Stegostoma tigrinum: one gene and its partner. Each later gene encodes a partner of the first gene's protein in a complex. Links are inferred from orthologs where the notes say so. Each region holds a gene or a part of one and is shown in the gene's direction. Other genes may lie near its edges.

What was found.
Region 2: the proteins of ALK tyrosine kinase receptor-like (region 1) and alkal2b are in contact, whole or in part, in a cryo-EM structure (PDB 9G5I), measured with the Homo sapiens proteins. The link is inferred for Stegostoma tigrinum from reciprocal best matches to the Homo sapiens genes ALK and ALKAL2. Residues at the interface, in NP_004295.2 of Homo sapiens: Leu684, Tyr739, His755, Ser758, Leu760, Phe856, His857, Glu859, Leu965, Tyr966, Thr967, Pro968, Leu970, Lys971, Val972, Met973, Glu974, Glu978, Asn980, Val992, Glu994, Cys995, His996, Met997, Phe1007, Asp1009; in NP_001002919.2 of Homo sapiens: Ser112, Lys113, His114, His116, Arg117, Leu118, His120, Asn121, Thr122, Arg123, Asp124, Arg133, Arg136, Leu137, Arg140, Leu141.

The regions. Positions count from the first base shown.
Region 1 is NC_081362.1:75,413,211-75,428,665, reverse strand, and holds the start of ALK tyrosine kinase receptor-like, read left to right. Parts: upstream 1-7,725; 5' UTR 7,726-7,760; coding exon 7,761-8,457; intron 8,458-11,954; exon of another isoform or gene 11,955-12,052; intron 12,053-15,455. UniProt on the Homo sapiens protein: Neuronal receptor tyrosine kinase that is essentially and transiently expressed in specific regions of the central and peripheral nervous systems and plays an important role in the genesis and differentiation of the nervous system.
Region 2 is NC_081357.1:108,097,556-108,113,565, reverse strand, and holds the start of alkal2b (ALK and LTK ligand 2b), read left to right. Parts: upstream 1-9,100; 5' UTR 9,101-9,694; intron 9,695-10,114; 5' UTR 10,115-10,163; coding exon 10,164-10,425; intron 10,426-11,421; coding exon 11,422-11,478; intron 11,479-11,574; coding exon 11,575-11,655; intron 11,656-12,881; coding exon 12,882-12,946; 3' UTR 12,947-12,959; intron 12,960-14,428; exon of another isoform or gene 14,429-14,635; intron 14,636-15,199; 3' UTR 15,200-16,010. UniProt on the Homo sapiens protein: Cytokine that acts as a physiological ligand for receptor tyrosine kinases LTK and ALK, leading to their activation. Cytokine-binding is sufficient to activate LTK. In contrast, ALKAL2-driven activation of ALK is coupled with heparin-binding to ALK.

The DNA.
Region 1 (15,455 bases):
ATTTCTTTAACTGTGAGATTAACCCGCCCTCAACAGGGTCCTTCTCCTGCCTCCAATACACCATTTCCTCCTGGACATCATCTCATGCCTCCTACCTTCCCTTGCCCTCTTCATCTCCACCTGCCATTGTGACATTGATCGCCTCAATCTCTCCACCCCTCTCACCTACTCCAACCTCTCCCCCATGGAATGGACAGCCCTCCGCTCCAACCCTAACCTCACCATCAAACCCATGGATAAGGAAGGACACAGCAGTGGTATGGCACACTGACCTTTACATCGCTGAGGCCTGGTGCCAACTCTCTGACACCTCCTCCTACCACCCCATCAATCATGACCCCACCACTGACCACCAAACCATTGTCTCTCAGACCATTTGTAACCTCATCACCTCAGGTGACCTCCCAATCACAGCCTCCAACCTCATCATTTCCCAACCCTGCACTGCCTGTCTCTATCTCCTTCACAAGATCTATAAACTTGACAGCCCCAGCCAACCCAGTATCTCTGCCTGGACCTGCCCCACTGAACTCATCTCCAATTATCCTGACTTTGTTTTTACTTCCCACGGCCAGAAGCTCCCCATCTAAGTCTGGGGCACCACCCACGCCCTCCACCTCCTTTAAGACTTCCAATTCCCTAGTCCCCCACACCTCATCTTCACTGTGGACATCCAATCCCTGTACTATAACCCATGCAGATGGCGCAAAAGTCCTTCTTCCTCTCTTGCAGGCCCAACCAGTCCCCCTCCACTGACACCCTCATCCACTTAACAGAACTCTTCCTTACCCTGAACAACTTCTCCTTTAACTCCTCCCACTTCCTAAAGGCTCAGCGGGTGGCCACGGGAACACACATGGGCCCAAGCTATGACTGCCTCTTTGTAGAACACATGGAACAGTCCCTTTTTCGCTGTTACACTGGCACTATCCCCCACCTCTTCCTCGGCTACATCGTTGACTGTATTGACACTGCCTCATGCTCCCACGAGGAGTTTGAACAATTCATCAACTTTACTAGCACCTTTCACCCCAACCTCAAGTTCACCTGGACCATCTCCAGTATCTCTCTCCTTCCTGGACTTCTCTGTATCCATCTTTGGTGACCGCCTCAAAACTGAAATCTATTTCAAGCCCACCAACTCCCATAGCTACCTGGATGACATCGCCTCTCATCCACCTTTCTACAAGAATGCGTTCACCCACTCCCAATTCTTCCCCCTCCACTGCATATGCTCCTAAGATGGGGCATTCCACTCCTGCACATGCCAGATGTCCTCTTATTTCAAGGGTTGTAACATCTCCTCTCCAATGATCAAAATTGCCTTCAACCACGTGTCTTGCATTTCCTGCACTTCTGCCCTCACATTCCCTCTCCTCAAGGCAGAACCCACCTTATCCTCACATATCACCCCACAAACCACCACATCCAACGTATCAGTCTCGCCATGTCCGCTACCTACAATCTGACCCCACAACCAAAGAGATATTTCCCTCCCCACCCATATCTACCCTTTGTAGGGACTGCTCTCTCCATGACTCCCTTGCCCAGTCCACACTTCCCACTTACCCCACCACAGCCTCAGCCCTGCAGCCACAGGAAGTGCTACACCTGACCCTACATTTCCCCCTTCACCTCCATTCAAGGCACAAAACAAACCTTCCACATTATACAGGGGTTCACCTGCACATTCATCAACTTGATCTACTGCAACTGTTGCTCTTAATGTGGCCTCCTCTACATCGGTGAGACCAAGCGTGGACTTGAAGACTGTTTTGTAGAGCATCTGCATCAGTGCTCTACAAATGACAACATCTTCTGGTCGCCAACCATTTTATCTAGCCTTCCGATTCCCTGGGAAACATGTCTATCCTGGGCCTCCTCCTGTGTCACAATGACACAATCTGCAAACTCAAGGAGCAACACCTCATCTTCCACCTTGGGACCCCACAGCCTGATGTCCTAGATGTGGAATTCGTCAGTTTTAAAATCTCCCCACCCCATGTCCAAGCCTCCCTCTCATCCCTGCCTCCTTGACCTGACACAACCTGTCCATCTTCTCTTCCAACTATCCTCCCCTCCCATCCCATTGACCAAATCCTACCACTCTCTACCTGCACTCACCTATCACTATCCTACCTACTTTCCCCAGCTCTACCCCTCCTCTCTCAGATATAATTTCTGAGCTCCCTCCCTGTTCCCCATTTCTGAAGAAGGGCTTCAACCCAAAATGTCAACTTTCCTGCTCCTTTGATGCTGCCTGGCTCTGTTCCTCCAGCTCTACATTGTGTTATCTCTGACTCCAGCATCTGCAGTTCTTGCTATCTCTGCTAGGACAGAAGGCTGAATTAGTGACCGGAAGCCGGTGTCCAGTGGTATACCGCAGTGATCTGTGTCGGGTCTCCTATTTTTAACTATGTGAGAGGTTGGAATAGTAAATTTGCAAATGACACAAAGATTGGTCAGATTGTTAATAGTAAGATTACGTGTCTTGGGCTCCAAGTAAGTACAAACAGGATTGTCAAATGGACAGATTAATGGCAGATGGAACTTAACCCTGAAAAGTGTGAGGTGATACAATTTGGAAGGAGTAATTTGACAAGGAAGTATTCATTGAATGGCATGACACTAGGAACTTCTATGAAACAAAAGGACCTTGAAGTGTTTGTCGACAGATTTCTGAAGGCAAAAGGCATGTTAATAGGGTAGTGTAAAAGGCACCAGGGACACTTATCTTAATCAGTGGAGGCATACATGATAAAAGCAGAAAAGTCATCTTGGAGTTTCATAGAATTTTCATGAGACTACTCTATAGTACTGTGTGCAGTTCTGCTTGCCATATTACAGGAAACATGATTGCACTGCAGGTGCTGCAGAGCAGATTCACCAGGGTACTGCCTAGAATGGAAAATTTAAGCTTTGAGGAAAGGTTGGACAGATTTCATGGAGCAAAGAAGAATGAGGCGTGGTCTGATTTAGGTGCAAGTGATATGAGAGACATGGACAGAATGGAGAAGGAGCAGCTGTCCCCCATAGTTGAAGGGTCAGTGGTGAGGGGACATAAGTTCAAGCTGAGAGGCAGGAGGTCTTGGGGGAATGTGAGAAAAAGCTTTTCTCCCGGGATGGTAATGATGATTTGGAATGCATTGGCTGGGTGTGTGGTAGGGGTGAATTGCCTCACATCCATGAAAAAGTACTTGGATGAGCACTTGGCATGTTATAACAGGCAATGCTATGGGCCAATTGCTGGGTAGACAGGATTAGATTGAAGGTCAGTTATTTCCTCACATGTTAGTGCAAACTCAATGGGCTGAAGGGTCTCTTCTTCAATGTATGAATCTATGCTTATCTAAAGTGGCATTCTGGGTGTACTAATGTAATTATTTGTACGGTACCAATAGAGTCTTGGGGGATATTCAGATTGAAGGAGAACTGCCAGTAGAAGGATGCCAAATCTGGACAATGTGGTTTGGATGTGTTTGGGCCGGCCATGATTGAATGGGAGATTTGATGGGCCAAATGTATCTTATGATCTTATGCCTCTATCCGCATACACGCAGGTAAACCCATGGTAACAGTAACTGATAGGTTTTATTGATGAACATTTTTTGAGGTTAACTTGTTGCTTAAAGCTACATTTTCATTTTTCTTTCTTTCACACCAACAACTGCCTTTGAAAGCAGGCAATTTCAGAGAGGGAATTGAGTCTTTTGTCACATCAACATTTGTATTGTTAAGGGCATAAAATGATTCAATAAACCTTTGTGATAGGCTTACACTACTAACTCACTTCTTATCATATTTTTCAATCACTTTCTTTCCAAAAATGTTTCTAATTGGCTTTTAAATGTAATGTAGCTGCCCATGTCAATGTCCTTTTCTAGTAATGTATTGCCCTTTCGATGTTTTCTTCTGTTATCACTGTTGTTTAGTATGGAAACACATTTCCTTGACTTTTTGATGACACCTGTGGTTTTATAATATTGTCACCTGCTATTGCGTGAAAAATTGCAAGAGTTGAAATATGTTGATCTACATGGTCCCAAATCCTAGCAATGGTCAGCAAAAGATGGTTAGCACTGTTACCTCACAGTGGCAGGGACCTGGGTTTGATTCCAGGCTTGGGCAACTGTCTTTGTGGAGTTTACACATCCTCCCCGTGTCTGTGTGGGATTCCCCTGGGTGCTCCGGTTTCCTCCCAAATTCCAAAGATGTGCAGGCTAGGTGCGTTAGTCATGGGAAACACAAGAAACAGCAGCGGGTCTGAGTGAGATGCTCTTTGGAAGGTTGGTGTTGACTCGATGAGCTGAATGGTCTGCTTTCACACTGTAGTGATTCTATGATTCTATGAAGGTGGGAGCTTTACTTATTTGCAGCTCAGCTGCTTCCTAAGGATACACTGTCTTTATCTTGGAAACATTGCAAATTGTGAGAAAGATCATAGAATTTCCAAGGAACACTGGCAAGTTGGTGGAGTAGGCTAATGGGTGGCAGATTAGATCCAATGTGAAGAAGTGTGAGGAGATACTTTTTTTGGTAGAAAGAACATAGGGAAACAATATGAAGTAAAAAGTACCACTTTAGCATAGAGACCAGGGTGTATATGTGCATGTTCTTAAAGGGGACAGAGGAGGTGGAATGTGATTAATAAATATCGCATTCTAGGCTTTACTAATAGGGTGATAAAATACAAGAATAGAGAAGTTATGCTGAATAAATATAAGTCAGTTAGTCATCACTTGGAGTATTTTGTACATGTCTGCACTTTAGAAGGATCTGAACATATTGGAAAGAGTGTAGAAGAAGCTAACTATAGTAGTTCGAGGGATAAGAAACTTCAGTTATGAAGATAGATTGGAGAAATCATGACTAGTTTGGAGTGGAAAAGACTGGGAGGATATTTGATTGAAGCTTTCAAAATCACAAGCCTGAACAAGGTAGACAGGGAGAATCTGTTCCTACCCAGATTTGCAAAGGAAGTAAGTGCTATTTGGGAAAAATCTTCTTCACACAGTGGATGGTTTGGGTCTGGACTGCATTTCTGGAATGTGTTGAAAACAGGTTTAATTGAGGCATTGGTTAAGGAGAAATAATGTGCAGGATTGTGAGGAAATGGTGCAAGAATGCCATTATGTCACGATGCTCATCAAATGGGCAAATGAACCCCCCCCCCCCCCCGCACTGTAAAAGTTCTGTGACTCTATGAAATGAACATGCTGGGAATTTCCTGAAAAACCACTATGTTGCTTTATCCGAGCTGTGAATATATTTCGTGACTGCACTCACCGGGTTTAGCCACCTATCAACAGTACAACCTGTTCTCAGTGAAAACCAAATTCAAGAGTGTCTTTGAGAGCAAAAAGAGTCTCCTTTCACTTCTTTGCTGCCTTTTGTTTTATTTGCTCCCTGTACCTCTATCCTCACCTCCAAAAGTGAGTGCAAAAGATTTTTGGACCTCTTAGTCACTAAGGTAGAAATCATCTGTTCGATTGTTTCCCCGTCTCAATGAACCCACTTCCATTCCTTTATCCTAAAGCAGCATTTCCTCCAATTCCCACATCCGTATCTCTTTTCCCCATTGCCAATTAGTAGCTGAACATCCAGCTTCCCTTGCTCGGCCGTCACGACTTGCTGATATTTTGTTCCACTCCACAAACTGCTGTTGATGCAAGAGTTAAGTTCTGCCTAATGTTACAAATACATTGAGGCTTGTGCGCACAGTCACGTAACATTCGAAAATGAGTCTTCTGCAAAGCCCCCTCAGACCTGCTATTGTCCAAAGCTGATCCAATCTGTGCTTTATGTTCCTCTTCTGCATACCTACCCCTCCTGAAGACCCTGTCGCGCTTTGATATCTAACCCGATATTCAGTCGTAAACTGGTCCACTGGACGCAGGACGACAGCGCGTACGTTAGCCAAGTTCTAGTCTATCCCCTAGGTCACTTTCTGTGACGAGACATGCCTTTTTTCCCCTTAAGCTGACCTCAATCTCAAGCATTAGTTCAATTGCTCCCACCGCCGACCCAGGTGAACGATCTCATAGGTCCTTTCACGTTCTGTGTATTAATCCACGCAGCGCTTTACCGATGCAACTATTTAAGTGGTTTCCAATAATCGATGTTTCTTTTCATCGTAACAATTCTAAAGCAAAGCATTGCTGAAAAGGGGCAACATTAAATTGTGGATATAAATCTCTTTCAGGTGTTCCATATTAAAAAAAATCTACAAGGAACGAAGCCCAAACTGCAACGTAGAACAACTCAACAAAGTGAAATTGAAGGTAGTTGAAGCAATATTTAACTTGAGGTTAAAAGCGCGTGGACTATCAGAGCAAGGGGAAGACTGGAGGAATTAAGATGCAATGGAGAGCTAAAAGTGTCACAACGGTAAGGGTTCGCTTAAATACTCGATCTAATGGAGTAGCAAAACGCACGGAGGTGTATGGATGGAGGGGGTGAGGAGCATTAGATTTACGATCGTAAAATAGTGAAGCTGATTGAAAATCCCATTTCAGCGCATGTGGAAGAACAGCTACGCTGAGATTAACCGAAACGGGTGTACCTTCACATTGTAGGGCCTCGAAAACGCCGAGTCTCACATCAACAGGAGTCAGCCTTTGCCACCTGTCCCATTTGTCCAGACAGTCTGGGATTTTTTTTTATACATCTGGACGGGCAGTCGGTCAAATGCTAATAGGTGAAATGGAACTGAGGAATTTTATCATAGATTCTTCCCCGCCTCACAAGTGCTCGCCGCGTCTTGTGCTGCGAATGCTTCATGAATGAGTTTATTAACGGTCCGGGAGATTTCTTATTTCCTATGTCCCCCACCAACCACCCAAACCAAAACAAAAATCAAAACGATACTTGACATTACACTTAGAAAGACATCACACGTCCGTTGGGACCTCTTCTAAACTGATTAAAAATGAAATAACGGTGTTGTTGTCCGGTGCTTCCAGAGCCGGACTACAGAGTGTCTGACTCACTCAGGATGTGTCTATATATGTGTCTTTAGGGAGGCGCTGACGCTACAGCCGGAGTTAAAGAGGGGGGAGAAAGTCGTTTGGGGTGGATTTATTTATTTTTTGTGATCGTGCAGATGCAGCGTGTAGCCGAAGCGCAAGGCTGACACACACACACACAGACACACTGGTGATATATTTGCACACTCACGTATACACACACACACAGAGACACAGCAAGAGGAAGAGGACAGAAGCAGCGGACAGGCTCCGTCAGCGCTCACTCCATCCAGGCACACGCGCTGAAGAGGCGACGTACCACACAGCCCCTGAAACCCCCTTGAAACCGAAGAGAGCAAGAGCTACAGCGGAGAGATTTAATTCAACTTCCAACTCAGAGAGGGGAGGCGACAAACGGCAGGATTCTGGAGAAGATTTGTTTTTGGGAAGGGGACTGACTGGATCGGTTGAATGGAACATAAATGCATTTACAGTGGAAACAACTGACCAGGAATTGATAATAACAGCAGTTTGCTGGAGACGCGATCAGTGATGAAGAACGGTCGATAAGCAAGGCTTCGATATTTGCAGCAAGAAACATTTAGTTCAGATTTTATTTTCCCAATTTCCCTCCTCCTCTTGCACATACTGTTGACACAATTTATTTTCTCTCTGTCGCTTGTTGCTGATTTATATATATATATATAATATATATATATATATATATATATATATATTTCATTCTCTTCGCCTCCCCGGGTTCGTTTCTCATCTCTATCCCCGCCACATGGAAGAATGAAGAGTGGGGGGTCGGTCCTCTTCCTCCTGCTTCTCTTAGGCGCCTTGCCGCCCTCCTCGCCGGAGAGACAGCAGCAGCAGCGACGAGGAGGAACTGGAGGCAGCGGGAGAGTGGCCGAGAGTCGCCCGCAGAAGAAAGCGGCCAGAGCGGAGCAGACCTACACGTCTCGGCTCAAGCGGAAAGGGCTGGCCGTGGACTTCACCTTCTCGCCGCTGTTTCGAAACTACCTGTTAGAATTCTTCGGGCGGGCGGCGGACGCCGACTGCCGCCTGCTGCTGGACTGCGAGGCTCTAGCGTCCGCCCTGGAAGGTACCGCCGCACACCGGGACGGCATCGGCATCAGCGCCCGGAGCGGCTTCGAGGAGACCGGCTCCAGCGCAGCAGCGTCCCCTCAGCCCGCCAAGCGGAGACTGAAGAAACAGCATCAGCCTAACCAGGTGGTCCTGGAGGTGGGCGCATCCGGAGATACCGCCCGCTGCCGGCCGCAAACCCCCCAGCGGCAGCCAGCCGCCCCCCTCCTCTACAACTTGACCCGAGTCTTCCTGGCGTGGAGCAGCTCCTCCGAGGGACGCCTGAGGATCCGCCTGATACCCGAGAGGAGAGCCCGTGAGTCCTACCCACAGCGGGAGGAGATCATCTCCGCCGCGATCAGAACCTCCGAGCCCAGGGTTCGGCTCCACGTCTCCTTCGCAGGTCAGCTCGAACTTAACTTCCGTTTTTGGAGAAACTGGCGTTTGTGCCTTAATCTTGGGAGATGAGGGTGGGTGCTTACTTTTTGGGGAGCTGGGACTTCGTTTTTTGGGGAGGTAGGACTTGATTGAATTTTTGGGGAGATGGGTTTTTTTTGGAGGAACTAAGACTTGTGTTTAGTTTAGGGGAGCTGAGACTTGGGTTTAGTTTTGGGGAGCTGAGACTTGTGTTCAGTTTAGGGGAGCTGAGACTTGGGTTTAGTTTTGGGGAGCTGAGACTTGTGTTTAGTTTAGGGGAGCTGAGATTTGTGTTTAGATTTTGGAGTAGAGCTGAGACTTGTGTTTAGTTTAGGGGAGCTGAGATTTGTGTTTAGTTTTGGGGAGCTGAGACTTGTGTTTAGTTTTGGGGAGCTAAGATTTGTGTTTAGTTTTCGGAGTAGAGCTGAGACTTGTGTTTAGTTTTGGGGAGCTGAGACTTGTGTTTAGTTTTTGGAGTAGAGCTGAGACTTGTGTTTAGTTTTGGGGAGCTGAGACTTGTGTTTAGTTTTGAGGAGCTGAGATTTGTATTTAGTTTTAGGGAGCTGAGACTTGTGTTTAGTTTAGGGGAGCTGAGATTTGTGTTTAGTTTAGGGGAGCTGAGACTTGTGTTTAGTTTTGGGGAGCTGAGATTTGTGTTTAGTTTAGGGGAGCTGAGACTTGTGTTTAGTTTAGGGGAGCTGAGACTTGTGTTTAGTTTTTGGAGGAGAGTTGAGACTTTTTTGGGATCTGGGACTTGTGTTTATTTTTGGGAGATGGGACTTATTTGATTTTTTGGGGGAAGCAGGGATTTGAAGGTTTTTTGGGGAACTGGGACTTGATTGATTCTTTTGGGGAGGTGGGACTTATCTTTCTTTTTACGGTGAACTAAGGCTTGTGTTTAATTTTGGGGAGCTGAGATTTGTGTTTCGTTTTTGGAGGAAAGCTGGGACATGTGTTTATTTTTTGGAAGATGGGGCTTTTTTTGTTGGAGAGGAGGGCATCAGTGAGACAGAAAATGTTTTTCTTTTTAAAAAAAAGACAGAGAAAAGTGTGTGACAGAATCAGGAGTGGCAGATAAAGTTGGACAGGACGCCAAAGGATGGAAAAGTGCCAATGAATGAAACAAAATTAGGTGCGTATTGTGTGAGAGGAATCGAACAGACCTTAACTGTGTGAGCGACAAGTGGTTGCAAGGAGAGGCTATATGTTACACACAGAAATAGAAATTGCTGCAAAATCTCAGCAGGTCTGGTGGAATCTGTGTAGAGAAATCAGAGTTGACGGCTCGAGTCGAGTGACCAATCCTCAGAACTTTCTGTGCACAGATGCTGCCAGACCTGCTCAGCCTTTCCAGCAGTTCCTGTTTTTTTTTTCTGTTTCTGATTTATAGCATCCGCAGCTCTTTCGTTTTTTTATTTACAGACCATATAAAGAAGTGTAGAGACGAGAGTTGCACAGAAATACATGAATCACAGTGTGATGCAGAATGTACAGGGGATGAAAGAAGGTGATAGAAAGTGCAGACAGCAAGTTAGACACGCGAGCACCTTTAAAGGATTTCCAGCTGTTGACCAACCGCATCAAGAAAGAGGACAATATAAAGTCGAATGCACCGATTTACCAGCCTGAATCAAATTTTAGTTAAGACAGTGCACCTACTTGTTTTTAGGGCTCTTGTGCTGTCATGGTATTTCCTCGGGGCCAAGAGGCTCGGGTTCAAGTTCCACCGGCTGCAGAGTTGTGTGCTGACGCCTCTGTTATCATAAGACATCTCACAACAGGTTGATGTAGAAAATATCTCAGCTACCTTTTGGATCACATTGCGGTGCTCAAGGGAAACTGGGCACACCTTGGCCAGTGCTTACCTGTTCCATTTCTTAGGTGCTGAGATGTCTCGTCAGCAGCACTTGGAGGTCCTGTAGGAAGCCTCTCCAGTGAAGGAGTGACGGTGAAGAACGCTCTTTTTTTCAGGGTATCATGTGGAAGATGAACGCGGAAGCAAGTTCCTGCAAGCGTCTGTTTTAACAGCTGCAGCTCTTTCAGAAACAAGAAAGGGATAGGTTTTAATTCAGTTCACCCACTGGGAAGCTGATGGGATCATTTGGAACACTGGTTTTACAAAATATTCTTCTCCACCAACTTGAGTAGGAATTTAAAATTGTGCAACTTTTCAAACCACCTTGCACCCAAGATTGTCTATTTCCTCGCTCATTGATGGGTTAAAACTGGCCACAATTATAAAGTTTAGTTGAACCTGAAGAAGAATTTTTTTTTTTCGCAGCGCGATGGCTCAGCGGCCTCACAGTGAAAAGGACCTAGGTTCGATCCCAGCAAAGGGTGATTTGTCTGTATGGAGTTTGCACATTATCCCTGTGTCTGTGTGGGTTCCATCCGGATGCTCCGGTTTCCTCCTACTGTCCAAAGATGTGCCGGCTAGGTGGATTGGCCATGCTAAATTGCCCCATTGTGTCCAAAGATTTGTAGACTAGGTGGGTTAACTACGGAGAAACGCAGGGTTACGGGGAATAAGGTGGGAATATGTCTGGTTGGAATGCCCTTTGCAGGTTAGGAGCGGTCGAATAGTCCGTTTCCACACTTCAGGGTTTCTATGAATTCGGTGTCTCAACTGACTTCAGCGTTGAGTTAAGACGGCGTGAAGCAGGATGAACACAGCAAACCAAGCAGCATCAGACCAGGAGAGTTGACGTTTCGGTCGAGACCCTTCTTCTTCCCCTGATTCTGCTTGGCCTGCTGCGTTCATCCAGCTTCACACTGTGTTATCTCAAATTTTCAGCGTCGGCAGCTCCTACTATCTCCGACTTTAGCATTGGTTGGGTTTTGGAGAATCAGAGTCCAACCTGAAAGTTTCCTTCATAGATTTGAAAGGAGAATAAGCAGCAAATGTTTCAGAAAGTTGAAGGGAACAATGACGGGAGGGGAAGAAATTTGCAGACTAAGAATTCCTTCCGAAGACTCCTGGCGTGTTTTCGATATTTCAAGCTGAAGTGTGACGTTTGCATTCAATTTTCAGTTCATTCACATTGCTTTGGGAATGGATTTGGATGGGCTGTAAAAGAGCAGAGAGGTGGTGGGAGTGCCGCATTTAGTGAAATTTTGAAGTGCTATAGAAAATTAAACAGACTGCCAAATTCTGAAAGCCTTGGAAAGCCTCGAAATGTGATTCAGCAAATGAGCAGCTGAAAGAATGAAGGGGACCTTGGTGAAAAGAAAAACAAACCTGAGGTTCAGGCATAAATCCAGGTCAAGGAATAGAGCAGTTCTCCACCTGATCCTTTGCTTTATCGCCGCTTTAGTGAAGTTGGCGCTGTATGTGTTGGCTGCTTTCGATTCAGTAACTCCATTATTCCCCACAATAGGGTAGCATCATAAAAGGACTGCAAGGACATAGAGCCAAGATTCAGGCTACAGTTGACGACTGTTGTCATAGAATATGCTAGCCTTATACAGCACAGTAGCTGGAAGTATCATCGCAAAGGATGATGTGGCTGTGCATCTGTATCATCTGAAGCCAGTTCGGAACAAGCCATTTACAAATGGATATTACAGAAGCTGCAGTAAAGGTTAGTAACATTTTGCCAGACTGAGTCAGTTAGTCTTCATTATCCACTGAGTACCTTAGCATGTCTTCTTTCATGCATGATATCGTGCGTTTGCTTCTGAGCAAATTTCCGATATAACTTTTTGTGGATTTGTATGTACTTTATTGTGCCATTGGGTCTGTTGGTCCATTTTCCTTCAGGCTGAGAAGTCTTTGCTTACGTTAATTGCATATTAAATTGAGGTATGTTCACTTGTATCGACAATGATCACCCTCGAGTGAAGACAAAGCATGCATGGGGTAGCATGAGCAATGTGACTTTTGTTAGTAGTTTGTCTTCTTCTTCGAGACATATTAGTTATAGCTACATTGGGCTGTTCATAATAATGGTTGAAAGTGTGTTATTTCAGCAATTGATACAAGTTCATGAGTACCCAAGTGCCAACAAAAGGAAGCAAATAAAGAATTTAGTCAAATCATAAATGAAACATAAAGGATTGAATTAATTTACTTGAGCTATTTAAATTAACTATTAGTAGAGCAAATTTCCTTATTATGCTTGATGTCATTTCAAGTGAGTAACTTTTGAAGTTGATACACTATATATCTAAAAGAATGGCAATGGACTTATCACTAAAATCCAATGTCTGCTCATTTGAGGTGTGCTCTTGAATCATCACTAGTCCCACTGCTGTAAGCTACACCACACAGCAAACTGGACAAAGTTGTCCAGAAGCAATTTTACCTTAGATTAGGGGATGGCTAGCAGGGGAACTTCTAGTGCAAAAAGAAGCAATACAGAGTAGATGTGAGGGAGGCATTCATGAGAAGGGTGAAGGGGAAATATGGTGATCAAGATGAGGGAGAGGGACACTAATATTGAAAGAAAATGCAGGAAATTTACAGTAATGTAGCAAGAGCCATGAGAGAACTGCTAGATTGAAAAAGAGACAGAAAGGAGATGGATTACAATGAGTGAAAATGAAAATGAGGAAAGTACTAAACCAAATAAATATAAGCAAAATGCAAGAAAGGGATTAAAGGATTGCTCAAAAATGTGATATAGAGCAAGTGGTTCCAAATGAATGACTGCAAAACAGATGAAAAATATTGCAGATAAAAGGAAGCAACAAGACACAAAATAGTGAGAGTTAAAGAATTTTCTGAAGAGTTCTTTTGCAAACAAAAAAATTGGTGTTTGAAATTCAAGTGGATATTGATATGTGAAAATGTTATTTAGTTGTTCATTGGATCATAAAATGAAAGAGGGATTGAAAGGCAAGTGTTGTGGAAAATCTGAGAATGATGGAAATCTTATATAGTACTTCTCATGAAGTATTTTCCATTAAAATTTTGAGTAAAACAAATCAAACAGCATAAAATTCCAGTTACGTTGTGCCTGCAATGCAATATTTCTTGTAAGAAATGTTGCGTCTTGACTATATTGTGTCCAAGGTGTAAATCTGGAAATGATGTAGAATTTACAACTCATCATTTAAGAATTTTTGTTTCTGTATAGAGAAATGGCATTAGCCCCAATGCACCTTCCCATTGTGATGGATCAATAGCACCTGCCTGTCATTGGTGACTCCATTTGTGTTTCAATGTGTTTGTCTGGTAACCTATTTCACAATTTCATTACCACTTATGTGAAAAAAATCCTTCTGACTTCTTTTGTCACAGAAAACATTCTAATTTCTTTTTACTAGTGCTGTAAGCCTTTTGCTGGAGAGACCAATAATTTTAAAATAAATTTTGTCAATTTTTTGCATAGATTACATTAACATGATTTCTTAATTAGTGAATAGCAGTGTTGTTATGTAATTTTCTTCCCCTTCCTCTTGAATGGGACCAACTGGATAGCTCTTTCAAAGAGCTTGCATAGACATTATGAGCCAAATTATCACACTTTGCATTGTATAAGCTCCATGATTCTGTTAATTACGATCACTGAATTCCCCTACTCGCAACATCCTGAGGGTTATCATTAACCAGAAACTCAGCTGGACTCACCACTTAAGCATAATGGCTAAAAGAGCAGATCAGAGGCTAGGAATACAGCAGTGAGTAACATACCTCCTGACTCCCCAAAGAATGCCCACCATTTATAAGGCACGAGTCAGGAGTGTTATGCAATGCTCCCCACTTGCTTGGACGAGTGCAGCCCCAACAACACTCAAGAAGCTTGGCATCATCCAGGACAAAGCAGCCTGATTAATTGGCACTGTATCCATTAGCATCTGCTCCCTCCACCACTGATGTTCAGTAGCAGCAGTGTGTACTATCTACAAGATTCATTGCAGAAATTCACCAAAGATCCTTAGACAGCAGCATCCAAACCCTTGACCATTTCCATTTAGAAAGACAAGGGCAGTAGATATTTGAGAATATTGCCACTTTGAAGTTCCCCTCCAAGCCACTCACCATCCTGACTTAGAAATATATTGCCATTCCTTTACTGTCGCTGGGTCAAAATCCTCAAATTCCCTCCCTAAATGACACTGTAAGTCAACTCACAGCAGAGGGATAGCAGTGGTTCAAGAATGCAACTCACCACCACCTTCTCAAGGGCTATTGGGGACAGGCAACAAATGCTGGCCAGCCAGCGATGCCCACATTCACAAATGAATAAAGAAAGTTAATGTTTACTCAAGAACACATTAAAGGTACAGTGTAAGTTCTTTTCATGAGGAGCGATTTCATGTTTCGTATTAGGAAGCTACCTAAAAGAGGCTGATGTACATTAAATAGAATCAATTACCACAACTGCAAATGATGTAATCTGGTGCTAATATACATTATGTAAATTGGGTAGATTTTTGTTTTAAAATGATGCAACACGTATGTAGTCTGTGGAAACTGTCCAAATTATCAGCAGAGGTAAATTAAGCTTTATTTGAATGCAAACCTGATTCCATTCCAAGGATTAAAAGTGAACTGTGCACTTGTTTAAAAGCACTGCTTTCAATTATTTTAACTGCAGATCAGTTGCATTCTATCCCATCTTGTCTGATCAATAAACAATATTCATTGCTACTTCTCCATACAGTCATTTTGTGTTCAGCGCTTTGCTGTAGTTTGGGAAAAATATAATGCAGGAAATCACAAAGAAATTCCAAAAATAGTGGGACTGCACTGTAGCTGAAAAAGTATTTCAGCTCTGCAAGCAGTATTGTGCTTGAAGTGACCTACCTTTTAGATGATGTGACCTGCTGCGCTTTCTAGAATTTTTAATCACATAGACAAATTTGTGTTTTGCTGCTGTGCTGTACAACTTACATAGAGCACTTAATCACAAAGATGTCTGTGACATAACTCCACAGAGGCTAGTATGCCATCTCTATGTCACCCTTTGTGCAAAGTACTTGACACTGGTTCAGCATCCTCAGAGCCAGCTTTCAGAATGAACAGAACCTCTGACACTG
Region 2 (16,010 bases), on another chromosome or scaffold:
GGCATAGAGCAGAGCAGTGTCACCATCTCCCATCAGGACCAGCTGAGGAGGCTATGACACGACAGCCTGCTGGCCTGGTCTGAGGTTACCAAGTGTGTCCGTGCAGCCTGTCGATATGGAGAATTGCTCAGCAGAATAGGAAGATGGCCTTCTTCATTCTTCATTCTGCCACAGCAACTTGGTACCATCTTCTCTCTGCTAATTCACACTCATTCTACTCATGTTACTGCACCCAGTTCTTGTCAAAGCTCATGGTCTACCACTGTCAACACACATATACCTATCCAACACATGTACTCGCAGTAAAGGTTGTGTCACCTAATTGCATCTCACCCAGTCCCTCCCATTTTATTTCATTCCAGGAGAAAACAGCCCATAACAGAGTAAAGAGAGCCAAGACAGATGGTAAGACACCTGACATTCCACTCCTTGCCAGCAAGGACAAGAACTGGTCCTTTGGAGATGCCAAAACGTTCAAGCACGTAGGAAGCACTGTTCATTTTAGTCCTGCCATCGTGTATATGATTCAGTAAGGATTCAAAAATCACCTTTGCAGTGTGTTGGGGAAGAAGTGGTAAAGTTAACATAGAGCATTATTGAATATTTGGTGAGGAATTAGACCCCCCAATTTCAATCTCCATCAAGGGATATCAGACAGAGAATCCCGGCCTGACACAGTGGTGTACTAGCATGCGCTACTATGGAAGCAATATCACTTTTAGTGTAAATACTTTGTATGAATTAAGATTGTGAAAATCTTGGAATCAATAAAGCTACAACTGTTAAATACTGAATATTGTAGTACTACTTAGCCTGCTCCTAATGCACTGACACAATGCAGTTAACTTAATTGTGACCAGAAATGAGTTTAACATTAATTATAAATATTAGGGACTCTGAGGTTCAAAGACACTCTTCAGGCATTACACTTTTTGCAGTTCAGCTTGAAAGAAACCAAACATTCTGGGTGGGTTTGCAACTGAAAAATGAAATACCTGCCCTTTTGTCTCTCTGCATCTTGTACAACAACACCTACAACAATTTATATTTAATCAGCACATTTAAACTAACAAAATGTACCAAGGCATTTCACAGGAATAATACAAAACAAAAGATGGTGCTGAGCCAGTGAAGGAGATGTGCATAATCGCTCTGTCCAAAGGGAGGCCCTTAGCTCACTGTCTTCTCTGTTTTATCCAGAGCTGTTTATTGGTAGTTTTTGTTTCAGTGCTGGTCTGCCTTTGCTTTCTAACATGGAAGATGTAGTGATTGTAATGAATTTAACCAGGTGGGCCACATAGAGTATGAGTTTCCTGATTGGGGCTGTTAATCTGATCCAACCAGGGAGCCCTGGCTGACAGATATAAACAGGAGTGTCAGCTATCCTGCTCACTCTGAGAGCTGGCTCTGAGGGAGGTAGATCAGTGATAAGCGCTCCCTACATGTGGGAAAAAAGCTGACTTGGTGACGGTATACTGACCTCTGAGGAGTTATTTCAGAAGGAAGTTTTAAGTCTACTTTAGCTGAAGCACAAGTCAAACCCATAGTTAGTGTTATTCAGAATCACAGGTTAGCCATTTAGCCTTCTAATCTATCTTTAAAAGTAGAAACTAGGTCACCTATCCCCTCCTCCCACCTCACTGACCAATCCCCACAACTGCCTACCTGCACTCACCTATCACCATCCCACCTACCTTCCCCAGCCCCACCCCTCCTCTCTCTCTTTATTTCGGAGCTCCCTTTCCCCATCCTCCATTTCTGAAGAAGGGTCCTGATCCGAAACATCAGCTTTCCTCTGATGCTGCCTGCTCTGTTGTGTTCCTCCAGCTCCACACTGTGTTATCTCTAAAAACTAAAAGTTTAATAAAGGAGACAAGCATCTTAAAGAAGGCAAAGGAGGCAGAAAGAAAGACTGAGCTATAACAAATGTGTGGCAGAATTCATGGTTAAGTCAACTGAAGGCAAGGCTACTGTTGATGGAGTGATTAAAATCAGGGATACTCCACAGGGCAGAATTGGAGGAATGCAGTTGGAGGAAGCACTCGGTGGAATTGCAGAGACATGGAGAAGTGTGACGCATAAGGTGACTGTCTCTCAACATTGCTTATTTTAATTTACTCAGTTTTGCAATTAAATGGCAACCCTGCCTAAGGAAGGACCACAAGCATTTAAGAAATTCAGGGTCATGTTTTCTTTCATATATTGACTGTTATTGCCAAACTGAACCAAGTCTACTGACAGCAGGGATCCATGGTTAGTGGAAAAAAATCCATCGTGTGGAATCAGGATGAGTACGAATTGAAGTTCAGGTGAGAAAGGAAAGTTGCATCCATCTCTATCCTAGATCTCCCTTTCCACAAGACTTCACTAATATATTCAACTTATCAATGAATTTTAATTATATTTGCTTTCATTTTTAACTTCTTTATGCACCTGAGGTATCATAACCTACAGGTTTAGTGACCAAGAGTTGAATGGTGAAATTAGACTGAATGCTATTTTTTTTCAGCTGGCATGAATACAATTGGCTAAGTGGTTGCCTTATGTGTCATAAATTCTAAAACTGTATACTTCTTATCTGAAACTTAATTTGCAATGATGACCCTTCTTTTGCTGTTAGCTGATGGAGTGCCAAAGAACCCAGATTTACTCTCTCACCCACTGGCATGATTTCATTGGGCAGCTAACAATGACCTGTAGATGAAGCCACATTTAAAAATACCTCATGCCTCAAAGTTTAGGACCATCAAACCCTATTCAAACCTGTTTATCCCTGTCCAGTTGGAAACATTCTAGGCTTTAAACATACATCACTGCGTCTCTCAGGTCAAATAATATGAATAATTTCTGAGTGAAGCATTTTACACATGTCATTTGATGTGTCAAATGAGTTTGAACAACAGCCAAGGAGAATATTTTGGAAACTAAAGCAAGTTACTTTGTAGCTCAGCCGGCTAAATAGTACTGATGCACTGTCAAAGGCAAAGATATAATGTTCACTTTTAAGCTTTTGGAAGGGAGTTAAAGCAGCTAAGTTAAAATAAAACTTTACTACAGAAAATATGAAGAACATGAATAATGAAATAGAAGTATAATCAAAAAATTCCCAACGGAAAGAAAAAGTTAGAAGAAGTAAATGAAAGTTTGGATGAAGAGGTGATTTTTAATCAGGGTAATAAGGAAATAGAATCAATAGAGTTGCCAACTGTGGGCTCAAATTGCAAAGATTACACACCAGTTAACAGAATCATGATGTCAGGCCCATTTGGGAAGTCCACTAATGCTTATGGCTCACTACTCTTGGGGTCATCACAAAAGTTAAACATTTAACCAACTTACCCAAAATCCACCAGTATTTATCAATATGATGGGCTCAGGTTAACAGAAAACTTGATGAGGTTTAGCACTTAATAAGAAACTATTATTTATCATAAATGAGAGAAACATCATATTAAATATTAACTTATGACCGCCAGCTTAAGCTGTATTGCTTTCCCCAAGCTCACATGCAGAAAGGCGCAGGCAAACAAACACATTGCTGTCATTGGTTGAGGGAAAATATCTGTGGTAACAGTTCAATCACACTAATCCACAGGATTTGTGTCCTTTTGCTTCTTCTAATCTACTGAGTTCTGATCTTATTTCCACACCCTTTCAGTTCATTGCTGAAGACACAGCGCAGTTGACACATTAACTGTTCAGTCTTTCAGTCACCTGCTGAAGGCAATAATTTGAGCTGAAGGTGGGAGAGAATAGTTAACTATCAGTTCGAGATTACTTCAAAGTGGAGTGAAAGAAATAAAACGCTGTCTCTTGCAAACTGGAAACCTTCTGCCTCTGTACTGGTCACCCACAAATTGTCCATGTTTCCCATGGCCAATCAGTGGATTGTTATCATGCTGACAGCTTTTGGCTCCTACATTCGGCCTTTATTAAAACTCTAAATCAATAGCCTGTCTCAGGGTGAAGCTTGCTCTGCATACAGACCCATTGTGCCACAGGTTCTTCAACAACTGCTCGGCAAAGCAGTGGTGTAAACAAAATTCAAAATGAATTCCAGTGCCTCCCACTGTCCTTGGTTTAAAGTAGTTTTGTTTCACATTTTGGTCCACATTCCACAGTAAGGGGAGAAATGGGTCTTATGGATGCTTGCAATAACCTATTCAGTGATGCTTAGTTTGAGTTCTTCGAGAGCCACTCAGCTTACTATCTCATTATAACCTTCATTCAAAGATAAACGAAAGAGCTGAATTCCAGAGTTGATTGAGGGTAAAGTAACTGACCATTGCTTCATGGCTGCATTCAACTGAGTGTGGTGTCAAGGACCCCTAGCAAAACTGGAGTCAATGGGAATCAAAGGCAAAACTCTCCTCTGGTTGTAATCATATTTGGCACAAAAGAAGATGTTAGTGTCTGTCAGAGGTCAATCCTCTCACTCCCAGGACATCCTCAGAGTAGTGTCCAAGGCCCAAACATCTTCAGTAGCTGCATCATTGACCTTCGCTCCATCGTAAGGTCAAAAGTGGAGATGTTTGCTGATGATTGCACAATGCTCAGTACCATTTGTGACTCCTCAGATACTGAAGCAGTCCATGTTGATAGGCTGCAAAACCTGGACAATATCCAGGCTTAGCTGAAAAGTAGCAAATAACAACAGTGCCACACAAATGCCAAGCAATGACCATTTCCAGCAAGAGACAATCAAATTAAATTCAATAGCTTTGCCATCAATGAATCTCTCATTATCAACAGCATGGGGTTTATTATTTACCAGAAACGGGACTAGCCCATATAAAATTGAATGGCTACAAGCATAGGTCAGGGGTTAGAAATCTTGCAGCGAGTAACGCTTCTCCTGACTCCCTAAAGGCTGTGCACCTTCTACAAGGCATAAGTCAGGCTTGTGATAGAATACTTCTCTTGCTTGGATGAATGCTTCTCCAGAAACTTTCAATACCATTCAGGACAAAGCTGTCTGCTTGTTTGGCATCACAGCCATTTCCTCCACTACTGAACATCAATAGCAGCAGTGTACCATTTACAAAAATTGCAGAAATTCACTAAGGCTCCTGCTAAATGCACAACCACCATGAAGTAGGACAAGATCAGCAGATACACGAGAACCCCATCAGCTGCAGTTCCCCTCCAAGCCACTCACTATTGTGACTGAGAAATACATCATAGTTCATTCATGACTACTTGGTCAAACTCCTGGAATTCCTTCCCTAATAGCATTGAGAGTGTACAAACAGCACATGGACTGCAGCAGTTCAAGAAGACAGCTCATTACTGTCTTTTCAAGGGCAACTGAGGATGGGCAATAAATACTGACCCACATCCCAAGAATGAATTAAAACAAGGTAATCTTAGATAGGGGATTACAGGAGCAGGAGAGAAATTATTCAATGGATAAGTCAACTCATATGTTTAATTATACTTGAGAACACAATAAATAGGAACAGGAGTAAACCATACAGCTCTTCAAACCTACTCTGCCATTCAATATGATCTCGAAAGATCTTGGGCTTTATTTTCTTGTCTGCTCTCCACATCCTTTGCTCTCCTGAGAGACCAAAGGTTGATCTGTGTTAGCCTTAAATGCATTCACTGACCCACAGTCCTTCAGGGTATTCCAAAAATTCACAATCCTTTGAGTGAAATAATTTCTCCTTTTCATTTTATTTTTCAAAATAAGTATGACAGAATTAATTTCAGTTATTGAGAAAAATATACATTTGATTTTATGTTCAGAAAGCATTTTGAGTTTACCTTTACAACAAGCAATACAGCACGATGCTGCAGCATTACAGTGGGTCTTTATAGGTCAGTGATCAGATTGAGAAAGAAGATTCCTACAAAACATCACCTGCTGGACTCACAAGGTAGTGTAACAGGTAAATATGGTAATTTGTAAATTTGATTTCCTATAGACTATGTTTACATAGTAGTTTTCAATTGATTGTACGACTCACCTCAAAATCTCAAGGGATTATAAATTAAAACTAATCATGGTACTGAAGTAACTAACAGTGCTATAATTTCAGATTATCGCTCTTTGTGTCACTTTGCCATTTTCCATTATGACATTGTACTATGTTTTAGGACTATTTATATGCTAGTATTTCACTACTAAAGTTAATATTTTACAGCTAATACTGATTTAAACATTAATATTTACACTGTACAAGTGTCACAATACATCATGGAAATTTTATTGGAACATATGAAGTGAGTAGGCCATTCAGCCCCTCAAGCCTGTTCTGTCATTCAATGGAATCTGGCTGATCCAAGGCCTAATTCCATATATTCGCTTGGTGCGAATCCTTTAACGTCTTTGCTTAACAAAAATGTATCTATCTCAGACTTAAAATGAACAACCAATCTAGCATCAACTGTTATTTGTGGAAGAGAGTTCCAAGCTTCTATCACCCTTTGTGAGTGGAAATGCTTCTTACCAGTCTCACATCAAATGAGCTGGTAGAGGTGTTGCTTCTCTTCTGTAGTAATAACATCTCAAATTCAAATTATACAATGCCCATTGCAAAACCTAACAGATGCAAGACTTCCTAATAAAAGAGATCTTGCCTTCTGCACCCCTTTCAGATTCTGGCAAAGAGTGCCCACTCAAAACATTGACCTGCAAACCATCTGAGAATTGTGTTTCTTTTTTAAACCCCTTGTGCTTTTTACCCCCAAGACCTGCAAACCACCATTGGCAGTGGTGCTTCTGCCACCCATGTTCTACTTTCAAGAACATCTCTCCAAACTTCTCTCTGTTCCTTTAAGGCCTTGAATAAAACATATCTCTTTGGCCAAGTTCAAGGTCATCCTTTCTAATACCTGTTTCTTTAGCTCAGCATTCATATTTTTACCAGATTATGTTTCTGTGAAACATTTTGGGATGTTATTCTAAATTAAAGGTGTCATAAAATAAACATTGTTGTTATTCTTAGACAAAAGTTTTCTGACTTATAAGTATTGTGGATTTTCTGTATATTTCTAGAGTTTTGTTGTTCTATTCAAGATTATCAGTATTAGCAGTTTATTTTTCCATATTTATTAGGAACATATGTTCTCCAGACTAAACTTTGGACTAACTTTGTCAATATTTCTCCACAACTTATGAACGGATATGTTGACAATCATCTTAAATAAACATAAGTTGTTTAGTTTATCAATTACATTATTTAGGTTATCCCTTGATTACATGGGAAGGGGAGGGAAGATGTAACACCCATGAGACAATGGACCTACATAAAGAGTAGATAAATCATTCTCTGCTCAAATCAGTAGTCATTGCTTGAAATGTATTATTAAATCAAAAGTTTGAGTATTGGAAAACTGAAAATGCTGCATAAGCATAGGATTTTAGCCAGCTCGTACTTTCTGGATATAAAGAATGCACTTGTACAGGTTAAACGGTTACAACCCCAGCAGCTAATTGGAGAAAACACCAAAGTACACTTTAGTCATTAGTGTAAAAAAGCTTCTGACATTTTTGTCTTTGTTTCCACAATCACCATGCTTGGCCTATAATAAAGTGGTTAATTTTCAATTTGATGCTGAATTTCAGAGTTCCCACATTTTTAATTTATGAATTTTGCAAAGCCACAGCCCATAAAAAAAAATTGGCAATGTTTATAATCTTATTTTGAAGAATTGAAAACACTCAGATCAAAGATTCAACAAATCCTTTACTACATTCTCTTGACATTACATTCCTTTTATTCACTCAAAATTTTATATACCCTTGGTTAGTTTCCCACATTCTACACTTTATAAACGTGGTCGCCAAAATTCAGCTGCCACATTTCAGTTTGCAGCAACTCTCATTACCCTATCACTCTGTGACTTATACAGTCTCCCGGTTATCAACACGTTGACTTAAAAATTCTTATCTTGTTTTCACACCCCTCAATGATATCACCCTGTCTCTATCTCTGCAATCTCTGACAGTCCCGCAACCCTCTAAAATACTTACACTCCTCTCATGCTTTCCCTTTTTGCCCAATCCCAAGGGTTATTCCTAATTCCACCATCCATGGCCACGCCTTCACTTGCCCCGGCCCTAAACTCTCTCTCCATACTTCTCTACCAAGTGTTCCTCCTTTCAGGAAACGCATGACTGCTTTGATCAAGCTTTCATCTGACCTCATATAATGTTATGTGCCTTGGTGAAAGTATTATACAAATAAATGTTGCTGTTAAACTTTTGCACCAAAATTAATGAACAGGCTATGGAATCATATGATCTATTGAAGGGTTTGTCATACAAAACCAAATGGGGAAAAATGCTTTTTACTCATGGTGCATATCAAGCGAATGAGTGGCATCTAGTGGGAGGAGGTAGGCTAGTCACCACCATTTTCTTCCCTAACATAAGGCGAGTGATCCGTTTGAAGAACATTTTTCTTTAGTAATCCATGCATTTATGAAGGGTAACTTGGATGAATATTTGCACTGTTGTTCGGAGTCTGATTCCTTCAACACCAATATTCCCTCAAAGGGGATTTTCTACGGCAAGTGGTTATTCTATAGATTATGCAAGCGACATAATGAGATCAACTGTACATGGTCGAGTAGTATCGGCGGAAGTTTCTATGAATAAATTATATCTAACAGAAGCGCGCTGTGAACCCAGTCCCCCCATTTGTAGGACACGGTGGTCTGACTGACTCCGGCCAGTCGCCGCATGGCGCCGTTGTTAGTCTGCTCTTTGGTTTATGTGTCCTTACAAATGACAGTTTGTGTATTTTCTCCAAATTTCTACATTTGACGTGTCCACGTTCGCAGTGTTAAGCGGTGTAGGGGGCTTCATTATTAGGATACAATAAATAGGAAGTTAATTGAAATCATCAAAATCACCGTTTCGTATAGATTTGGACAAGTCTTGCTCTCACCAGGTCCGCACACACACTTTGGTGTTTGTTTGAACCTGAAGGGAGTAGTAAACAACATTCTGATTAAATAGGCACTGTTAAAGGTTTAATACCGGCACCGTTGCACCTTTGAATAGCTGCATCTAACTGCAGTGTTTCATGTGCAAGTACACACTTCTTGCTGACTTTAACATCCATATCACAGCGTTTCCAATAATATGTCACGTCGGAAATTAGACTTGAAGAAATAAACATGTTTATCAGAAATCATATCCTGAGGATCATCAAATAAACTGCAAGAGGCAGGAATATAATGGCAGTTACCGGTTCCCGGCTGAGGGAAGGGGATAGAAAAGAAGTTCCTGGTATCCACGCAGCGTTGTCAGTCAGTGACGGTCTCATCATCATCCGGGCTGACGAAAATAATGCAATTCAAGGAGTGCTTGATCGGGAAGGATGTATTTTCAAATCGCGTTAACACGTTTCCAATTAAAGACACGCCGGGGTAATCCGTTGGGACCGATTACGTCTGCGAATAGACAGTAAAAGGTTGGGAAAGATCTAACGAAAGTTACCGAACAAAGGTTGCCAAGTGGACTTTTATTGTTTGCCACCCACCTCAAGTCGATAATATCATATTGAACTACCACATGCATCGTATACTATATAAGGGCCTGTGCTGGGAGGTACTGCAGAAATGGTGTAGTTTAAGGAATAAAGTGCACACCGCGAGAAATTATTTATTCTGCGAGCAAGTTTCAGCAAAACAAAAACGACCCGACTTGCAAAGAGAGGGGGAAGGATATATTTTGAAGGTAAATGCATGATTTTTTTTAAAATTCGCGATTCAGGTCTAGATTATATAGATGCTACTTTGAGAATAAAAAGTCTTGCTCCAGTCAAGCCAGGTAGCACATGCCGGATGCTGTTTTCCTTCTGGACTAAATCGCCTTCCTTTGCAAAGTAGCAAAAACAGCAGAATTGTATGCACTTTTGCCACAATTATCAAATGTGGATTTTTTTAAAAGAAAGGAATTTAATGCTAAATTCAACGACTAACCATTCAGTGTGAATCTTAAAACACAGAAGAGTTTGAATTTTCAAGACCGTAAGAAGCAGTAAAGTGGTTAGTGCTGATGAGAGTGGTGTGCAGTTTATGAGTGGCTTGGTATATGCGTGCGGTTATTTCAACTGAGCTGCTAAAGATCACTATGCCGGTGTATTCTCTCTTCTAGAGCTACGGAGTCGCAGCTGGGAGGCTTTAATCTGATCTCAACATCAGAAATGAACAGTCTGAGGTCGCCGCTATTCTTTGGACTGGTACTGCTCATTAGCACAGCTGGATATTGCAAAGAGAGGACAGATGTCACGGAGTTACGGGAGAATAAAACCCTCTTTAATTTAATATTGGAAATCATTAATCAGTTACAAAAGCACCAGGAGGAGGAAACTAATGAAATCGACTACTTCCCGCAACCTGTCGATTATACGTTTGATTCCCGGGAATTTCCTGACAATGAAGTCTATCATAAGGAGGAAAGAGTTGGTAAGTGTGTTCGGGTCTATTGTTTCCACGGTAGTTATGAATCTACCCCTGGGGGATTTTCCGCCTCACTGAGTGAAGAGCCAGATATATTGGGTGATCACGCATTTCATTTCCTTTTACCAAATTGAAAGTAGGGGAGGACTGGGCTGTTTGAATCTGGGAGGGGGAAGGGGGGCGATAAAAGCGATGAATGACCGCTTGGGGCTGCGGAAGGTCTGCTCGCTCTCTGTAGCTGGTTTCTGGTACAGACGGGAAGAAAGGAAGGTGGAGTGGGGAGGCGGGGTGGTGTGGGGTTGGGAGTTGGGTTGGTGGAAACTGATGGCAAGGCGATGTTGGCTACTTTAAGGCAAGGAGCGACACTAAACCCAGCAGCTTGTATTCCCCCCACCCTCACCCATCCATATATGCTAAACGCAGTTAGACAGTTTGTGAATGGTCAGCAGCCAGGAAAGGGTGACTTGAGGACATTGTCCCGCTGCTCAAGAGATCCGCGGGAGAACGGGGACTGTCTGCTTGCTATCAATCTCTCCCAGGTGACGGGGGGGACGCTCCACATTCACGATCTATAGCCCTGATTAATTATTTTTTTGCAATATCTCACTATTTTGGGATATGTCGATCTGGTCAGGTATGGGAACAGGCAGGGCTAGGGTAGGAGTTACAAAAAGCGATCCTCCCTCCCCTGCCCAGCGTTCACGCAGCGTTGTCTCGAATTGTCTATTAACTCGGGGCTCCCCTCGACAATCCCTCAACATTGGGACAGTCGGGGGACGCTGTCTTTTCGCTTCTTCCTTGCTTGCGGATTCGCCTCGCTGCCACTCAGAACCAATCGTTCCTGAAGTTGCCCGTGACTCCAGCACACACCTCAAGGCGAGTCGAAACACCGTTAAAACGATCGAACTCCACGTTAGGAAAGGATTGGCCAAGGTTTAGCAACCCCATCAAGCTAACGTTATCTCAGCCCTGCCTTTAAACCCCTGTCTGATTTTCCAACAGAAATAGTGCCCAGAGATCTGAGGAAGATGAAAGACAAGTTCTTGAAACATTTAACAGGTAAACCACGGCTCATTCAGTGTGGCTGTGACTGCGTGTGTTTTTATGCCCAGTGCGGATCGGCCGGTTTTTAACAGTGATTGCCTTTCTCCCCAGGTCCACTTTACTTCAGCCCCAAGTGCAGCAAACACTTCCATCGGCTGTACCACAACACGAGGGACTGTACCATACCAGCATGTAAGTGCGAATCCGCCACTACTTTCCCCAGTCCCCTTCTGGGGAAAGCGATCGTTTTACGCATGAGTCTAAGAGGCTTTTTTTTTATTAAAGCAATTAGGAAAATAATGCAGTGCTGGATATCTGAAATTTGAAAGAGAAAACTAGTTGGCCCCACAGTAGGTCAGGCAGATTCTTCCGAACGAAGTGTAGTTACAGTCTGAAGGACTTTCCAAACTGTGGACTTCTTGGTCTCCCACTCTCATGCCAGGGTCACTCTCATTTGGCAGCTTTCATTAGAGCAGCACGGATGTGGCAGAGGAGGATGGTTTGCATTGGTTTCGGTAGAGATGTGACCATGCATGATGTTCAGAGCTAGTCCCAGCTAGCAGACTGACAGCAGGATCCTAAGATGCTGCTTGGCCTGCTGTGTTCATCCACCTCCACACTGTTGTCTAGGATCACAGTTCCCGCTGGAGAGGAGGGTGGGAGGGAGAGAGAGAGAGATGAGGGGTTTTTCTGTGGACATTTCCATTCTTACCTGAATGATCCTGAGCCGGGTGGTCAACACTCTGGTCTGAATGACTGAAACTTCAGCAGGCTGATGGTGGGAAAGGATAGACTCCATAAAGGCAAGTGACGGAGAGTCTGGCCTGCTCCACTATACTGGCGGACACCTGTTGCCAAAATCATTCCCAATGAGACTCATTCAGGTATATGCAAACCATATCCCCACTGTCTATCCAGAAGGGCAGCGGCGCGTTGGATTCTATCAGGGTGGGCCGAGATAAATGTCGGGAAATGTTAAGGGTTACGCTTGCAACCCAATGTGGCTTGTGTTGTATCACATCACACATCATTCTAAAACCCAGCATTACCGCTGCAATAATGATTGAAGTGTTTTTTTAAAAATGATTCTCATGGGAATGAAAATTATCGGACAATCGGGCTCGTTTGCGAAATTGCTTTTTGAACGCGAAATTCAAAGGCAGACACTTTACACAGCCCGTTTATAAAAATAGAATTGACCCATCTGTTTATTTACATCCTTCTGGCTTAAGTGGGAAGCTTCAGTAACTCCATATGGCAGGAATATGTCTTTAACAGACAAATGTCTCTGAGAATGAAAGAAAGCTGACGATTCGGCGACTTTATTATCTGTTTGTTTTCGAAAGAGAGACACAATCTCCTGCAAATAAATCTCCGTGAGTGCTTTTCTGTGCCGTGACAGCTTTCTCTTCTCGTAGATTACAAAAGATGTGCCAGACTTCTCACAAGATTGGCAGTCAGTCCGATGTGCGCTAAAGGCTAAAATTCGATTACTGGTAAGTGTTGCTCACGGACTGCCATCCTGTGATACTTGAGCTTGGCTGTTCTACATTCTGAAGTTTCGACTCTGACATTCTGGGGGTTGAGGCGGGGTTGTTTGCGTGGCAATTTGGAACGATCTATTCCGTTAGCAAATACATTTCAAAACCAATCGGCCCTTCCATGCAGACTATCCCTTTCAAGCGTGAGTTTGTCTTTCAGCCAAAATCGATCAGGGGCTAAATGCAGCATTTCTTCTTTACCTTCCTGATAGATATCACATCGGTACCAGTGAAACCCACCCAAGCTGCCATTTCGTTTGGGTAGCTCATCCTATTATTTGGCTATTCTAATGTACCTCAGAGCAATGTAGGCAGTTTGTAAAATTACGCTGCAAATATATGAAAGCTATTGCATAATCGGACGGTATGAGCAAAAGCTGTGTCTGGGCAAAAGCCTAGTTTCGTTCGCTTTCAACTCAACAGCTGAACCACAACCACATGAAACCAGACTCAAGATGTAATTCCTTTCAATATTAATGGCCTGTTAGTAATGTTCTGCCATCTTGATGCTTTACTGCACTATATAAGGCAGCACTAATTGCCATGGCTACGACATCATAAGAGATGGCAGCAATTGATATACACACCATTTTACAAAGCTTTCTAATCAATAGGTCGGCCCACGCATCGTGAAAGTAGAAAAGCCAGCCGGGCTAATTAATATGCAATCGAATGAATGCTGAACTTCCACGCCTCACACATCAGCGACACCCACAACGTCACTGATTGCACGAATGCCTCGGTTAGGAAAATAAGACATGTAAGATGTCTAAAGTACATATACCCTGGGAAGGAAAAGGCAGTAATCATCATTTACAACTGAACAAAAGGTATCAGGTGCATGTCTTACTTCATTCTGGCATCTGGGCTCCTGTACCTCAATGCAGATTGTCAGGACAAACTTGAGGCAGGATTGAGGAAAAGATAGAACTTCAGATGGTAACACTGCTCTAGGTAATGCACATTCAGTTAGACACCAACAAGTTCATTTCATTATTGATTAATCATTCTTTTCATTCACTCAGCTTTACATGAGAGTGGGGATATATTTTTTCAATTGCAGTGCAGAATTGAAATTCCAATTGTGATGATGCTTGGTGAATTCCACTTATTAATCATCACTGACACAAAAATAGTTCCAATACTGATTTTTAAAATATATTCTAATTTTTGTGACATTCTTTCCTTCATCAGTTTGGAGGAGCAGTACAACTGTAGCAAATAAGAAATTTTTTCATTAACTTGCCATGCCTCACTATCATGTCTGACTGATAAAATTGATGTGGTTTGCCTAGCTAGTTGAGAGGCCAGCAAATTAGGAACTCAAACTGATATCTTACCTTTAAATGTAGCATTTAACCAACTATTGTTATTAAATAGCTGCAACAAATGGACTGAAACATTATATCACAATTCTCATACAGAGCACTGAACAGGAGCTGCTAAGTTTATGACACCTGAACCAACTTTCAACCAGTCATGCACCATTGTGATGTAACCACACAGATGAACAATCTAAAGGTGCACTCTCTTCTATGGAAAGGATCCTGGCATAAAATGTTTATAAACAACAAAATAAATTACCCGTGGTAGATATACAATTTCTGAATAATTGTTAAAAGGGCCAAAATATGCCATCATTTTCAAAACCAAAATGGCATTTTGGAACAATTACAGTCATCAACTAACTTGTAAAATGCTCCTGAGATGCTGCTGGGCCTGCTGTGTTCATCCAGCCTCACATTTTATTATCTTAAAAATGAAACCATTGAGTTCCACGTATAAACGTGCAGCAGTTTTGAAGAACTTATAAAGCAAGCATTCCACTTTTTAAAACTAAAATCCATGAAAAATCCAGTGACTCAAGGGTTAGCTCTGCCTCTCAGTGCCAGGTACCCAGGTTCAATGCCAGCAGCCTTGGGTGACTTGTCTGTGTGGCGCTTACATGCTCTTCCCATGTCAGTGTTGGTTTCGCTGGGTGCTCTGGTTTCTTCTCACTGTCCAACGATATGCAGGCTAGGTGGATTGGCCGCAGTAAACGTGGGGTTACAGTGATAGATGGGGAGCTGCGTCTGGGTGGGATGCTTTTCAGAGGGTCAGTGCAGGACTCGATGGGCCAAAAGGCCTCTTTCTAAGCTGTAGGCACTCTGTGATTCTAAATTAAGTATACAAAATGCAATAATCTTATCTTACAGGTATCAACATAAAGATATCCCCAGAACCAAGAAAAGTGCCTTGGAAAACAACAGGGAAACACATTGATCTCAATACCTTTATAACATATTCCATTGTGAACAAAGATTTATTTTTGCAAACTGATGGATTACCTCCATGAACTCATTAATGTGCATTTTGTGTGTTGTCAACATTATTTCTGTAATTCTGTACATTAGTATAAATAACTGCCGATGTTACAAAGGCTGAACATTTAAGAAAATAACAACACTTCACTGTTTTCCTGTGTAATGCTGCCAAAAATTGCACAAATGCTTTCTTGTTCATGTTTGGAGTATTATTTTGTATTAAACATTGAGACACTCAGATACTGTTCAAGACAAGGCTAATGTATCCTGAATTTACTGTAGGATTTTTTTCATGCTTCAGAATGCTGGTTATCTTTACTTGTCATATGTAATGCTTATGCAGTTTAAAATCATTTGCTGTGTCATAACACAGCAAAATATTGATATAATGGAATGCTTGGGGTCACCCTCTACTCCAAGGGATAAGTTATGGTTTGCATGACATTTTTCTTGCCTTTGTCTTTACAAAGTATAATATTTTACAACTACACTGTTAGGTTAGTACTTTGTTGGTTATGGTTTACATTCTCTGAGCTGAAAAAAAGAATTTTGTGACCAATTATCTTTTCTCTAACACAGTGGAGTGTCATTTATACAGATCTATACAAGCTATTGTCATTAGTCACTGTACATTATGATTTATAAACATTCCAGCTAACATGTGCAATATGTATATATTGTAAAGACCTGAATATATATCAGT